2 linked regions of the Drosophila melanogaster genome follow. The main gene of each other region encodes a partner of the protein of the gene in region 2 in a complex. Each region holds a gene or a part of one and is shown on either strand. Other genes may lie near its edges. A codon is read from its position in the direction of its gene.

Region 1 (7,694 bases), on a different chromosome or scaffold from region 2:
CCGGCAAATGGCGGTGGCCCAATGTGACCCAAATAATGGCAAATGGAATCAGGTCCAGTGCTCACCCGATGGTCACTGCTGGTGTGTGGATGATCAGGGTAAAATCCTGCCTGGCACAAGGGTCAAATCTCCAGCAACACCCAAATGCCAGGAGAACTCTAGCTTCGCGTGCCCAAAGACGAACTGCAGCCTAGAGTGCGAGAGTGGCTACCAGATGGACTCCAATGGTTGTCCCACCTGCGAGTGTAGAAACTACTGCAACGAAGTAAGCTGCTCCCCTCACGAGGAATGCCAATTGATCTCTGTGGAATGTGTGGACAGTCCGTGCCCGAAGATGCCCATATGTGTGCCCCGAAGAGCCTCCATTTGTCCCGAGGGTAATCCTCTCCAGCAAGGCGACTTGGACATGAGCTGTGGACCCCACAATGAGCACGAAGTGTGCCCCACCACCCACTCCTGTCAGCTGAATCCGGTCAATAACCGTGGTGTTTGCTGCTCCAAGACCCGTGATGTTTGCTTCGAGTCCATGGATAATGGTTGTCTGGCCACTGGCAAATCGGAGAAAAATAGCACGCGCTATAGGTTCAGTCCCAAGGCAAACAAGTGCCTACCCGTGGTCATCGACTCCGAGGCACCCGCCTGCCAAACTAAGAACCTCTTCCACAACGAACTCGCCTGCAACTCCGTGTGTCCAGGTAAGATGGTAGCCTCCGCTTTTGGTTTTGGAACTCCTCGTTAATCCATTTATTCGTCTCGTCCCCAGTGCTCACTCAATGCGAGCGCCTGAAGCTCAAGAACAACCTGGCTGCCCAGCGAACAGGACACTCCTCAGTTTGGTTCCAACCAAGATGTGACCCAGTCACTGGCCACTGGAGTCCCGTGCAATGCTTGGGCAAGCAGCCCCAACCCATGGACAGGCACACGGAGATCGTTAGTCGCGCCTTTGCATCGGAACCAGCTGCATCCGCTGGCGAGGAAGCGCCCGGAGTTTGCTGGTGTGCGGACAAGAAGGGTGCTCCTCTAAAGGGAACCCTCACCCGGGAGAGCGAACCCATATGCAATAGTCGACAGGCTCGTAACCGCAAGGCATTCGATTCTGGCGATCCTCTGATGGAGCAACTGATTGCTCAGCTCACCCAACTGAATGATGTCGCTAGCGAGGATCTGGACTTCGATGAGCTGGAGGCTAGGGTGCTGCCTGCCACCGCCAGTGCAGCGGAGTCCAGTGTTACGGAGAGAGTACTAGAGCTGGCGAACTCACTGCTGGACTCTCAGCTATCCGTGGAGCAGGCCACCCTGAAACCCATGGAGCTGAAGACCACACGTTGTCGAGCTCTGTCGAAAACGGCACCATTCCCGGTCAGTTGCGATGAGGCAGGAGCCTTCCGCCCGCTGCAGTGCAACGGCAGAAGTTGCTGGTGCGTCGATGCGGCCGGCAACCAGCTACAGTCCACCCACGTCTTTGGAGCTGGCGATCGTCGCTGCAGTCATGTTCCGATAGAGGCGGTGGCCATCGAACTCCATCTGACCAACAGCAGTGGCCGGAGTATAAGGAATGCCTACGACACCATCCGGCGGGAACTGCAGCAGCTACTCGGCGGTGAGTCCGTCGAAAACTTGCGCGTCCAAGAGAACTTCGATGGATCCGCTATTGTCCGTTTTGAGCTGCACAACGAGGCCAAGGTGGACTTGGCCTTTGCCATCGAGGCGGCAATTTCCGCCGGCGACTTCCGCCTGGCGGGCGGTCACTTCCGGCCGGACTTGACCCGCTCCCACTTTGTGCACCGCAGTGCTCATGTCCCAGTGGCTCAGGCGGCCACCGCCCAGGACGAGTCCATCCAGCTGGTGCTGTTCATAATGGCCACCAGTTCCGCCTTCCTGGTCAGCATATTTGTGGTCTATGTCATGCTGAAGCGAAACCGGAACCTCAAGGCGGCGAATCCCTATTTGAAGGGCGAAGGAGGCGACAAGCCTGTGGACTACTCCGCACCCATTTTCGTGCTGGCCGCCGACATGGACAGCAAGAAGGGGTTCGCCGCGTAGGCATTCCGTTGTTGAGTTATCTAAATCAATTTGTAAATAAAACAGAGCAAATTTAAGATCTACTTTTAGGGGGGAGAAGAGATCAGAGGCCTTGATTCTGCCCCAACTAAGCCAAAAGGGGAGTGCGACTAGAGGGAACCCACTTTCGAATACTTATCGCATATGTTCTAGCAACCTAAGACGATTAATTTATGAATAAAGCTTTAAAGTCGAATAAATAGTCTTTTTTTTTTTTTTGTCACATACTGATATGATCTTTAAGTATCTGAATCTAAAACCCTTATCTTGGAATAAAAATCACGAACGTGTCAGCAAACATTTTTTGATTTTAATATTTAATAATACACGACATAATTGTCCGCCTGTATGGTATCTTTCATTCGCAGATCCCGTAGATCTCGTGCTACAAAAAAGTATAACATTAATAAATTTTGGCTTCATTTCGTACAACTCGAACTCAGTTTTGTGTTTTTGTTTTGTGTATATATAACTTGTATTGTATATATTGTGTAGAACAATACCCGAAGAGGCAAATCGTTAGACATTGGTATAACTATATATATATTGTTCATATGTTTCTTGTATATGTGTAAGTATGATTGGTTGTGTATATCGTATGCTAAGTGCTTGCACAAGCGCCGGTCCTCAAATGGAATTCCGAGCTGCTATTCTTTGTGTCTTGTTAATATACTAACAAAAATTGTAAGTGGCTTAAAATATGTTCAGAGTTTAGATCGATCGATAGATTGATAGAAAAATGCAATACTCATAGTTACAATTGGATATATCTGTAGTTAGATTTTGATTTGGAAAATGCATTGCTTACATGTAGAGTGGGTTCGATGGACTTAAAACTTAATATTTAGCTGAATGTGGCTACGAGAATGTAAGATCGTTGATCGTAGAGAAGACTTGGTTCCGTCTATTGAGCAAATTGGATTAGTACATTAGTATTATCCGGCTTAAACTACTTGCACATGCAATTAAAACGTTAATATCGTAAGACTCGAGTGCATATCGTTCAATATCATGGCCAGCTCATGGTGGAGTATGTAATGAGTCATGAGTGGATGAGTGTGTGCATCCGTTGGAGGTTCCTCCCTCTGCTCGTGTAGACGAGGCCCTATACACCCCTAATATTTGGTTACGTGGTTAGTTGCTATTCATAAATTAATGCTTTTCGTGTACGTGTGTATATATAAATCTTGTAAAAGAACAAAATGTTTAGCAGCCAATTTCCGAAAATAAACGACTGAATAAATGGCCGCAAGATGGGCTTACAACGAAATGAGTCAGGAGCTGCGGCCAGGGATGGATTTATAGGATTGTTTGGTTGGACTTCAGCTTTTTGGACTACAACTCTCTACTTTCCAGCTCCGCCGGCTGAACCGTTGTTGTTGCTGCGGCTATTGTTGTTATTGTTGGCATTTCGGAACGGAATCGAGGCGCGCTGATCCTCCATGCGACCGCTCTGGACCTTCATGATCAGTGAGAAGAAGTCCTCATCGGGGACGGTAGCTCCACGTCCGGTCTGTCCGCGTGGTGCCCCTGGAACAGCAGCCTCTGGGACGGATCGCGGTGGTGCCTCCGCCTCTGCGTCCATGGTGACATTGGGGCGCGGTAACTCGGACCGCTGCTCCTCCAGACGCGAGCCTTGGCAGCGCATAAGCATGTCTAGGAAGTCATCATCGGGCTGCTGCGTAGTGGTGGCGCTCCTGGCGAGCGGCCCATGTCCAATGGCTGATGGATTCGCCGACGACGGTGACTTGAGGCCAGGCAGGTTGGTGGGATCCACGAACAACGAGTTCTGCTGCACAAGCGGCTTACGCGTGGCGCCAGTGGCCACCGCCGGAGCTCCGGCGGGATTCACCTTGATCGAACAGCGCTGGTCATCCATGCGCTTCGACTGCGACCGCGAAAGCATCTCGAAAAAGTCGTCGTCTTTGGCTTTCCTGGTCGCCTGTGCTCGTAGCTTTTCCTCCTGCATGCGCTTTCCATCGGGAGTGATCTTGATCAGGTCCAACTGCTCCATGCTCTGGCGACGAACGCGCACCTGACGGGAAGCAATTAAAGTAATAAATTTAGCTATGTATCTTTCAGGGGTTTCAATTTCTCAGCATGTGCTCGAATCGAAAGTTTAACGATGTGTTTTGGTACAAAGTATAAATATTTACGCTAACATAAAGGGGCAAACACTGCAAGCAGCAGGTGTCCACTTCGAAAAATAGAACAAACGGACTGCCAGTATTGTTTAAAAATATCTCAGGAATCATTCATATTGCTTTATGTTGTTGCAGCTCGTTTCTCTTACCATTCTTCCTTGCGAGTTCTCCGATCCATCCGACTGATTTCCGCTGGCCGAGTGATCGGAGGCGGTGGATCGAGCCTCCTCCTCGGTGGGTGAAGGCTCGGAGTCGGGCATTCCGAGTAGCTTTCGTAGATCGGAGATGTTCACCCTGGCTGTGCTTTCACCCACCGGGTCGTGCAGCTCCTTGGCCAGTTGAAGATGCTGTTCCGCATACTTTAGGGCCCGCTCATGACCACCGATGGCAGAGTGGGCATTGCCCAGTGACCAGCAGGCCCTGGCCTCACCAATTCGATCGCCCAACTCCTGGGCAATGGCCAAGTGTCGATTGTGATACTCGATGGCAGTGTTGAACTCGTGCAGCAACGTGTAGGTGTTGCCCAAGCTGTAGCAACTCTGGGCCTCCACTTCGCGTTCACCCAACTCAACGGCCAAAGCCAAGGTGCGTTTGTAGTGTTCGGCGGCGTCCTCGAATTGTCCCAGGAATATGTGCGAGTTGCCAAGATTACTGTTGGCCCTTCGCTCAGCCGCGCGATCACCAAACTCTCTGGCAATGCGCAGTCGCTCCTGATGATGCTCAATGGCCGCTTGGAAATCGCCTAGTAGGTAGTAGGTATTTCCCAGATTACCACAAGCTCGACCTTGAGCACCACGATCACCCAGATCCCGCATGAGCTTCAGATTCTCCTGGTAAAACTCCACGGCACGGGTGAGCGCCTCCTTGACATCGTCGCCGAACTTTCCAGGGTTTCTCTGACCCAAGTGCTTGCCCTTGGCGTGGTAGACATTTCCTAGGTTGTAAAGAGCGCGTCCCTCGGACAGACGATCTCCCAGCTGCCTGGCCAGCGTTAGGTGCCTCTCGCAACAGATGGCCGCCTCGTCGAAGCGACCCATTACCTTGAGGGTGTTGCCCAGATTGCCAGAGGACTTGGCCTCGCCCAGTCGGTCGTTCATGCTCTTGGCCAGCGTAAGATCGTGTTTGTGGTACTGCATCGCCTTGTTGTAGTCGCCTAGGTAGAAGTAGGCGTTGCCCAGCTGGGAGTAGATGGCGGACAGAGTGCGAAGATCCTCGGTTCCGGCCTGAATGGCCGCCTGGAAGAAGGCCACGCCCGCCCGGCAGTCACCCGCCTTGCAGAGGCGTTCACCCTCGAGGGCCAGTTCCAGGCACATACTGGATCCTCCGTCGGATCCGGAACCCTGCTGGGAGTTGCCGTCGTGGGAAGTAGTTCCTCCTCCGCCCGATCCCAGTCCCAAACTGGACACATTCTCCGCGGACGCAGAGAGCGAGGACATTCTGCTGCGAAGTCTCGCCTTTTTGTCGCGATGCTCCTTTTTGAGGGGCAGGTGCTCTGAAAACTGGGAGTTGTCCACTTTGCGGCGATGTTTTGGGGTCGATCTTTGGGGTTTTTAGCTAGCCTCTGGCTGGTTTTGAACTGCTGGTGGGTAAACTTAACTGCGACAGGTGAAATTTCAGCAATTAAGCGATCTTTTGTACCGTTTTTTTGACTAATTAGTGCGTTTCTGATTCACGACCAGTGTGACCGATTGGGGTCGATGAGAATACCAAGCAGATTAGAAAGAAATACCAACTTTATATGGTATGTCGTTGGATTTAAAAATAATATCTGTTATATTTTGTTTTAAGTCAATTGAACAATTTTAAATTACTTGTTATTTTTCCCCTACAACAAAGATACTATGAAAATTATATAAATAATATGCCTTTACCTCATGACCATAGCTTACATATCAGCAATATTTAGTAGCCCAATTGGTAATATTATATATATAATTACATTGTTTGATGGTTAATGTATGCATGCCGTTTGATTTAAAACTAATTTTTTTTTAACTTTAAGAAAAAGCAGTTTAAATTCATTTATTAGAATTCGAATTAGAAATCTTATCAGATGGTTGCCCTAATTTGAGAAATGTTAGCCACTGCAAGACCATAGCTTATAAAGGATCAATACTTATGAGCCAAGCTAAAACACAATTTTATCATAGTCTTTTCTTATTTTTGTAACGTATTAGTAAAATCTAAAATATATTGGCATAGTTAACATTTATCATTTTCGGTCAACAAGCCATAGCCCTCATCCCTATCAACCGTAGTTGGTAGCCAGCACTTTTGCAGACGCGCTTTGCAACACTAATCGCTTCAAAGATGGCGTCACTTCTACGGTGTCTGTGTGAACGATTCTAGTTGCCGCTGGAGAAAATTCGTAATTCTCGCATAAAGCGCACCTGCCGGTTACCAAAATCGATTGAAAAGCGAACGTCCCATATTGCGGCGCGATAAGCGGGTGAAATTGTGGCAGTGCGTGCGCGATAGACTGTTAGAAAAGCAGTGCAAATTGGAAGTCCGGATGCTCGAAGGTGTGTGTGTGCGTCGCTTTTTTTGTGCGGTTTTCAGCTGCAGTCGGCCAACAGTGCAACGCAAACATTGTGTTCTAAATTACATAAAGCAGGGAATTTCTGCACGAAGGCAACCGAAAAAAGGACTAAAAGGAAAAAATTAGCCACACAAAAGGAGAGCGAGTGCGACAGGGAAGGAGGGATACAGAGCGAGCGAGAGGTCGATAACGATAGCCTTGTTTGGTTATCGCCCTCGATAGGAAATAAAAACGGGAGAAAAACTTGAAAGCAGCGGCGTCTTTCAGTTCGCCGGTGTGCCCGTGCGTTGGATGGTATTTTGTGGTATTTTCATTCATTTTTGGGACTGTAGTGTGACCGTGTGTGGGAGAGAGCCGCCTAAATAGAGAGCGCGACGCGCAACAACAGTTTCTGTGGTGAGTTGAAACGAAACTCACCACGCTCTCACCCAGAAATCTGGCACAGTGGTCTCGAAACAAAAGCCAAATGAGTAATCGCACCTGGGGAATCTAGCTAAATATCAGCACCAAACAATTGAAAGTCAGCTAGATGAAAACAATAACAATAGTAATACTATTCGAAGTACTAATACTAATCAATTGGAGGCAGGCTTTTCGTTTGTGTGTGCCTGCTCCCTCTCGCGTATAGTATATACCCATGTGCCAGAGAGAGCAAGCCGAAAACGAAAAGAGAGCGCGAGAGTCGGACGAAGGAAAAAAATATCGCCACAGTTGCCGTATGCCGCCTTCGTCGTCGGTTGCAAAAGATATAGAAATCTTTTATATACACACATACGCAGTCGGTTTTTAATAAATTCTGCAGCGAAAATTCCAAGCCCGAATAAAGAAGGAGAAATAAAAGGCAACTAAACAAAGCCGAGTGCAAAATTAAAGCCAAATTTCCAAGGCGAATGCAAATTTTTCAAGTGCGCAGTAAGCGGCTAAATCCCCAGACGCAATTCGGTGTTTCA
Region 2 (8,432 bases):
TTCGAGCGAGAGCTGCTGAGTAAATAACTCCTTCACACCAGAACGGATTCTTGGATTGTGAAAACAAACAGGGAATAAATAACAAAAAAAAAGGGGCCACTGCGGTTAATAAAGTTGAACACATTGAATAACGACAACAAGCAACTAAAGTGCAATCGAACGAATAAACAAACGGATCGAAAACTTTGTTGGCATTCTGCAGTTAACTTGTGGTGCGAAAGTACACTGAGAAAAATGCAACAACCAACCGCCGAGTGATCGGAAAAATCAAGTTAAACAACTTGATGCATAAGTTAAATAACATTTAGATGTTATCATTCTTTAAAGACAAATCAGTAAATATTGAATTCAAAAATTTTTCAATGCTTACATACATTTTTAAAATCAAGTGTCGCCTTAATTGTTTCATAGATATTACATTATTTAATCCTCCACTAAACCAGCCAGCTTCTTTAAATTCACATTGTCCGTCGGTGTGAAATGGGCTTTAATTGTTGGCTTAGTGCAGTGCCATAGGAGGCATCGAGCAGCTTTTGCTCGGGAAGCGGAAATCAGAAACTGTCAGAATGCATCTCGAATGCATACATTTCAATGCAAACTGACGCCGCCACTGACAGCGGAAGGGAATGGGCGTTGGGGGTGTGGCTGTGCTTATACGAACACACAATATACCCATATGCTGCTGCCAATATGTTTCGCTTCAACAGCAGTCAAGTGGCCCAAATGGGGGAAACTAAAATCCGACTTTTCAGGGAGAAAAAAAAAGAAGCAAAATTGAAACGAAATCCATGGCGCCCATTTAATTTCCTGCGCCCCAAAACAGGGCAGCCCCAAAAAGAGCAAGCGAGACAGCTGGTCGGATAGAACGAGAGAGAGAGAGAGAGAGAGCACGTAATTCCATGGGGCATTGCTGGGCCACCAATATATTGCATGGAAAAGTACGCGCAGTCATTGAAATGTGTGTACATAAAGTACAGCTCACTGGGAAACTAAAGGTTTCCCGGGGGAACTGTGCAAGGCAATTTGAAACTAAATATTTCAAATTTGCAAAGCTGAAAAGAAACACCCTACTAATATTAATCAAGCAGACGAAACTTTCGAAAACGTTTTCGAACATTATTACAAGCTTCAGATACCTAAAAAAATATATGTTGGCCCTACGATTAAACAAGCAGCTTAGCATATATACAAGAAGTTGCTTAAAATTTGTAAATCTTCAATGGAGAATTGCCTGTATTTTATCGAGAGACCACTGTACCACGTTATGCAATGGATTCGGCCACTTGAACTCAAAATGAGTTATCGAATGCTTTAGAATGCTTTCCCGAAAATGCCCTTTTAAGCATTGTTATTTTTTTCATTCCTCCATTATTTGTGTGCCTTCAATTTGTGTTCTGCATGTTTTTCATCGGTATTTGTGTTTGTTTTATTTTTTATTGCGGCCACATTTTTTAGCTGGCCTCAGCTGAATGCCAATGCCGTTGAAAAAGAGATGCTAAACTTCAGGTTACACCATCTCTCTCTATCTTCATCTCGCTGTGGGGAATTCCAGGAAATCGATAAGACCCCTCAAAAGTATCCACAATATATTTGCATACATATGTATGTATCATTTACAATAGCAGGGGATAATAATAGCAGCGATTTCAATCACAATTTATGTAACTTAAAGTAGCAAATAACTTATTGACTTATAGTAAGCTGCGTATAGATTTAAAAATTAATATCTTATGCTTGTTACAGTTTATCTCACGTATAGTGGTTTTATTCGCTTGACCGCAATCGTATCTCACTCGTAAACATATACACTAGTGTATGTATGTAAATGTAAGTGTGCTGCAGATGATTCCAATTCTAGGCCAATTAAATTGGGATTTCGCCCGCACATGGCTCTTCATGACCTTTTGCCCCCCCCCGTCCCGCACACAACCCCTGGCGCATCCTTATCTCTATCCTTCGCTTCAACTTGAGTGTCAATTGTGGTGCCTGTGCAACACTGAGAACCAAGCCAAAAACTATGGCAAAAAAAAATCAAACTCTGATGCCCAAACATAGTTTTTCCAACGATATTACTCATACGCAGTGTTATTCGGTTGCACAGTAGTAGTGCTTTCAAACGCAGTTGAAATGTTTTCAGTGTTATTACAGCATAACAGATTCAATGCAAATATGTTCAACAAAAGCGGGAAAGAGACGGAAAGAGACTGGAATCTAACCTCAAGTTTGATACTATACCCAAAACACACACACACACACATACGTTTCGGGTGTTTGGGATGCGGCTAATACCTTGTTAATTATTTCACACGCACACACATGCATACACCACCTCAAATTCCCTTGGGTGGACCTTAACTGTGGGTTGATTTCAAGGCTGTGAACTCTTTTTATCGTAATACATGTGACCCATATCTATCATAAGAAAAATCAAGTACTGGCATCGTGTTTAAAAACTCTCTTCTTCAATTTAGTTTAGCTTTCCTTCTAAACTAGCAGAGCGACGTGACTGATCATGTTCTGTCGAAGTGCGACCCTGCGAGTTTTTAAGTTAAGGTCCACCCTTGTGTTTGGCCATACAAAAGCTCCTGTTTTCTAACGTGTCACGTGTTTGGCTTGTTTGCATTTGAGTTTGTGTGTGCTTGTTAGCCGTTTAACATTTCTGACACGCCAAGCGCAGCCACTGAAACTGTAACGATAACGGGAGAAGAGGAAGCACCAGCGGGATACGCCGAACAAGAGGAATAGGGACAAGAAGAACCAAAACAATGGGAAGAATGGAAAGAGGTAGGGGGAGAGGACCCAAGCGAAACGAAACGAAAAGGATTATGCAACTGCCACTGACAGCGGGCAACACAATTTGCACCCAGGGGTCCAATAGAAAGGGACGGGGTCACAGAGCGAGACGCGGAGCGAGCGGGAGAGAGCCATAGGGGACTAGAATGAGATGGAGCACGGCGGTAGAGCAGAACTTTTGCAAATTATACAACAGGCAAGACCCACAAAACAGACAACTGCAAACCAACCGCCCGTCTCGAAATGGATGGACATATGGACAGAGAGAGATGAGAGGCGGATACGTTGCTGAAAAAAAGAAAAGATGGGCGAGCAAAAAAAAAAGTGTACTGCAAACAGTGCTGCCAAAAATCCAAAAGTAGCTAAGAGCTAATCCAGACAAAACTGTCAAATGAGAAAAACAAGCTGTCAAATCTTGGGCAAAAATGTCTCAATAAATGGGAACGGCTTAAAAAACTGCTTAAATATACAATGATAAGGCAACAATGGCAGGGAAATTAACTTTTCTTAATAGGAAAGTATTTAGTTATAGTGATAATTAGGTTCATCTTAAGCTTGAGACTATAGGTAATATGAGGGAAACCAACAAGTTGCTAGTGAAAATCAATGGCTCCTTCGCCATATGCCACCAAAATGCACTCCATGATGCAACTGGAGCACTAATCAGGCCGTCTATCGACCCTTTTGAGTAACCAGAGTCGGTAAAGAAAAAAAAAACAAGCTGAATTAGCCGCATTACTATGGGACGCTTGCTGTTTCCATTGCGCTGCGCTGCTTGGTCTATTTGACCCAAATCCTATGCAATATTATCGTTTTGCTGTCGCTGTTGCTGCAATTCCCTTTGTTGCTACTTTGTGCTCACTGCTTGCTTGTCAAGTGAAAATAATTTGCAACGCGAGGGGAGGGACAAGAAAATCGATAGGCGATAGGCAATGGACGATAGACAACTGCACAGATAAGAACTACTTTTCAAGGATCTTTCTTTCCGGCTCATCAACTACTTTCTAACAATCTTGGCACAAAGTTCGCAACTTTGTTTGCGTTTAAAGTTTCAGAATCAATAGACGATGATGATGAGCTTGGTTAAGGCTCTTGCTTATAACGAACTTGTGAAAAACTTATTTAGCACACTGACCTATATAATAAAGTATTTCACAAAAATGCACTTATCTAGCGGCAATTATTTAGATATTTTTAAAGGCAAAAACTTACGAGCGACGCGAATAGCGTCTAAGATATACATATAGGATATTTTCATCGATTTAATCGATACATTATCGATTACTCACCTAACAGCGCTTGAAACAAGCGAGATTTAAATATGCGTATAACGCGTTCGATTGCAATACGCAGCGCCCGATCCTGCGGCTCCGAAAGTCTCGCGTGGTAGTCCTCGAGCAGCTCGAGAGCCCGATGAGCTTCTGAAATATATAGAGAAAAGAATATGGTTAGTACAAATGATCTTCGATTGTTTTATTATGAAATCAACCCAAAAGACCAAGGGATTCTGCCTGCCCATTTTTCCCCACTGGATTAGTGCCTACTCTGTATGTCCGCAATGCGCTCCTCCTCATCCTGACTGATCGCCAGACCCGCCTGGCCGAAGATCGTTGACCAGAAGCCCCTCTCGGAACCCTGTTCCGAACCACTTTCCCCAGCCGCATCCTGTACGTGGGATCTCTGCTTGGGCTTTGGCTTCGCCTTGCTCTTGGCCTTCAACTGCAGCTCCGATTGCGATTTCTCGAGACTTTCCCGCTCGAGAGTCTCGATCATGGTGCGAAATCGGCTCAGTTCCATGCGCAAACCCTCGGCACTGTGGCGACTCGACGAAGAGACGGAGAGTCCGGAAATGCCGGAGAGAAGGCGACAACGGGCTGCGCCCGAGGATGACGACGACGGACCCTCCCACTCGTCGCGCGAAGCATCGCTCTCGGACTTCTCAAAGTAGCCAGACTCCACATCCGGTGTTCGGACCATCGAAGTGGAGGACAGCATGTGTCCGTACTCGAGAAGATCCTGGGCGGAATAGAAGCATTCAACGGACTCGCGGACACTATCGCGCAGGGATGTTGGACACTTCGGAGGCTCGGGATCCGGTTCGGTTACGGTCTCCATTTGGTGTTCCATCACCTCCAGTTGCGAATCCCCATCCATATCGCTAGCTTTGGCAGCTACTGCCACCGGATTGGTATCATCGATTTCTTGGCGCACTTCTATGGCTTCCGCCGACGGCTGTACCAAGACCACCAAAGGTGGCTGGTCTTGGTCGCAGCGAATCTGTGCCTTCTTCTGCGGCAGCAGGCACTCCTCCTCCTCGGGCTCCTCCTCATCGTCCGCCGGAGAGGAATCCTCCGCCGGTTCATCATCGTCGTGGAATGTCTTGTCATCGCTACTGAGCAGTCCCTCGTTGGGATCGCTGCTCTTCTCCCGCTCCGAGTCCGTATCCGAATCCATTACCAGGACCAGCCAAGAAGACACCTCTCTTCGCGCCCAAGTGCCGCACTCAACTGGCTAGACTTTTGAGCTCTATTATGGTTCTATAGTTTGGTGGCTGCTACCGCCGATAAATCAATAAAGATTGACGCTTTTTAAACATTTTTCACCGCTTGTCGGACGCCAGTTATTAACGCTTTTTTTTTTTTGTTTTTTTGTTTCCATGAAGGGTGTGTGCCTAAAATTCCCCATCCTAAATGCTTTAACTTGAAAATCTGAATAGCAACGAAGTTGTGTGTTGCTGCGCATAGTTTGATGTCCCCATGCGAAGAGGTCAGGGGTCAAGTGCCATACCGTCGCTGGCTTGTCATTCGTGCCGCGTTTGCCAAAAAATTAAACACATAATTTATTATTATAATCGAGTCGCATTATGGTCCCAAAACACACGCACACACACACACATACAGAGCACACAAACCAAACTATACATACTCGTATCTAAATGAACATTGTATCTGTGGCCGCAGTTTGATGTCCTCAGCACGCGTCAAACGCCGACGTTGACCTTCACTGACCATTTGCGAGGCTGCTGGCAGCGCTTTTCCCCGGTTTTCCCATTTTCCGTCTGCTGCGGCTCCTCTCTTTCCCCCTCCCCCTTCCCCCTTCCGCACCATTTCATTTCATCTCTTCTGTTGGCCATTTGAGTTGCCCAAATATGATTTGTATGTGACATAATCAAATAAAATTCTTTGTCTGCATTAATTTAGCTGGTTTTTTATGTATTTTTTTTTTTTTTTTTTGTTGCATAGCTTCCAATGCACAGTTGGATACATTGTTTGTTTGGCCAAAAGTGCCATCTCGTGTGTAATTGGAAGCAGCTTTGCTGGCTAACTTTGCGCAGCACGTAAAAGTTAAATGATCTACTAAAATTACAATTGAAAAACTAATGCCAACTTTCTATATACTATATGGTGCTTAAAACTTTCACCAGCAAATCAATGCAGTTTTGCATAGACATAGCTTTTTTAATAGGTTCTAACTTTATTTCACAATAGTTAAGGTTATTTTTCTAAATTTGTTATGCATAGAATTATGTAAAATGTGATCTTAAACCATTGTGTTAAGTTTTAAACTACTTTTTCAATTGCTGAAAACTGGCAAACAGTTTTCACTGTCCACCATTCATAAGGTCCATTCAATTGAATGGATTTCCACGTAATGCCAAAGACAGATATGTAGAACAGAAAATAAAAAAAGAAGAAGAAGGAGGGAAAGGTGGGAAAGGTGGGCAGTGAATAAAAGTGCAATTTTTCGCTTACCTTGCTTTTTCACTGGCATTCTGTGAGCGGTGTTTCTGCTACTATTTATGGTGGTGCTGGTGGAAATGGCAGCGGAAATGGCGGTGGTGCAGCAGCTTTGATTGTGGTTCAACGCCGCCGAACTGGGAAAAGCGTGGGTCGCAATTTTGAGAATTTACTGGAGTCGCTTTCGAGTGGAAATGTGCGGAAAAATCGCTTTGGCTTTTCCTTGAGTTCTCCTCCTTTTAGTTTCGCCAGCACATCTGTATATATATCTGATATATATGTATATATATATATATACTATTCGATGGTGTTTTATGTACAAATATTGTTTTGTTAGATACTTTGGCTTTCGAACAAAGTTCGAGATTTGTTGTTTTTTTTTTAATTTTGCGCTTTCAGTTTGCTAGTTTATTTTTTAATTTCTTTATATATTTTACTTTTCGTTTTCTTGGGGCAGCTTTGTGGTTACATTGACGTGTGCGTTTTCTCTCGATTTCTTTGCGATTTTCACATTTCACAGCTCAATGGCTCCTCACATTCACATTCGGTTCTATAGCATTTATGTTGCACTTTATATTGCAATGCGACTATCATCGAAATGTCGTACTTTCCTCGTCACAACACAACAACACCAACACAAAAAAAAACTCAGATCGTTTATTTGCTTACTTCGCGTTCACTTGATTTGATTCTATATTGCATTCACCATCTGAAAGTCGAAAGAAAAACAAGTGGAGAAGGTTTGAGGAACACGGCTCCTTTGGATTTTTTCTCAACGGCACCCATTTTGTTGTATAATCATAAAAACAAAAAAAAAAAAAACAAAAATTACGAAAATTGCAGACACACACGGGCGCAGTTGAATGCGCTTCCGATTGCAACAAAATGGGTACAGTGGTAACTCGCTGCGTGGTATTTCGTATCTAACTTCTATTGATCAAATATTAATAGCATATTCTTCAATATGCAAATATTTTTATGAGAATTTTAGCAGAATTGTAAAGTATATTCAATGTTTCAGCATCAGTTAAATATGATGCTACACTGAAAATATTCCTATAATATTATAAAACACCGTTGTCCATTATCGAGTGACCACTGTAGCTGACTCTTTTTTTCAGACACTCATATTTGGGAAATAAGAAAAATTGAATAGCGTCGCAGCGATGTCGAAATTCTCGTCTGCCCGCTTGTTTCGCGATCGCCATTGTCGAGCTGATTCCGATTTTATTCACATATTTTCGCCAGTCTGTGTGAGTTGGCTGCTTTTTGCTATTTCAGCTAAATGGTTTTTTATTTCTGCCATGCAGTTGATCTAGTTTCACTTGAAACAAAAAAAAAATGAACAAAAAAGAACTCATAAACAAGGCAAGAACCGAATACAGTGAATGCTGAGAGTTGAATTTCGCAGTGCCTTTGGCTTGATAACTTGTTACATTGGCCAGGTCGAAAGACCAAAATTCCGCACACCCGCACCGCACACAGACACACGTCCAACTGAGGCAATAACGGTGCTCTGCTTTTGGCCCTCAATCGCCAGCCTCTCGCCCCCTCTCCTCCTCTCACCCATCCTCTCAGCTGGCCGCCACCTCTCTCTCTCTCTCTCACTCTCTCTCTCTCTCTTCGACCGAGAATCCCGAGCGATTCTCGTCGAGCGCCGCTCGCCGGACCAACAATTAGTGCCTGCACATATACTCGTACACCGGATGCCATGCCAGATACCAGATGCTATATGGCTATATGGCCACGTATCTTTCTATCTGTCTACCTTTATACCATTCTATCTTTCTACCATTATATCTTTCTATCATTCAAACTATCTACATTTCTATCTTTATATCTTTCTATATTTCTATCTTTCTATCTATTTATCCTTATATATATTTATCGTTCTACCTTTCT

Evidence for each region. Proteins that work in one complex are often made in the same cells at the same time.
Region 1: the proteins of dlg1 (region 2) and pins are in contact, whole or in part, in a crystal structure (PDB 3TVT), measured with the Drosophila melanogaster proteins. Residues at the interface, in NP_996406.1 of Drosophila melanogaster: Cys808, Val809, Pro810, Arg814, Arg817, Arg824, Asp825, Tyr826, Ile839, His842, Phe844, Ile845, Glu846, Ala847, Gly848, Gln849, Tyr850, Tyr855, Ser877, Asn879, Arg883; in NP_524999.2 of Drosophila melanogaster: Arg434 (codon at 4,084), Met437 (codon at 4,075), Gln439 (codon at 4,069), Leu440 (codon at 4,066), Asp441 (codon at 4,063), Leu442 (codon at 4,060), Ile443 (codon at 4,057), Lys444 (codon at 4,054), Ile445 (codon at 4,051), Thr446 (codon at 4,048), Pro447 (codon at 4,045).

What each region holds. Positions count from the first base shown.
Region 1 is NT_033777.3:27,581,035-27,588,728, reverse strand, and holds pins (partner of inscuteable), read right to left. Parts: upstream 5,890-7,694; 5' UTR 5,642-5,889; coding exon 4,355-5,641; intron 4,097-4,354; coding exon 3,407-4,096; 3' UTR 2,353-3,406; downstream 1-2,352. Other genes in the region: CG5639 (uncharacterized protein), read left to right, coding at 1-695, 764-2,043.
Region 2 is NC_004354.4:11,372,624-11,381,055, reverse strand, and holds the start of dlg1 (discs large 1), read right to left. Parts: upstream 5,294-8,432; 5' UTR 5,248-5,293; coding exon 4,338-5,247; intron 4,215-4,337; coding exon 4,083-4,214; intron 1-4,082. UniProt on the Drosophila melanogaster protein: During embryonic development, some isoforms are essential for proper neuronal differentiation and organization. Required for cell polarity; maintenance of apicobasal polarity.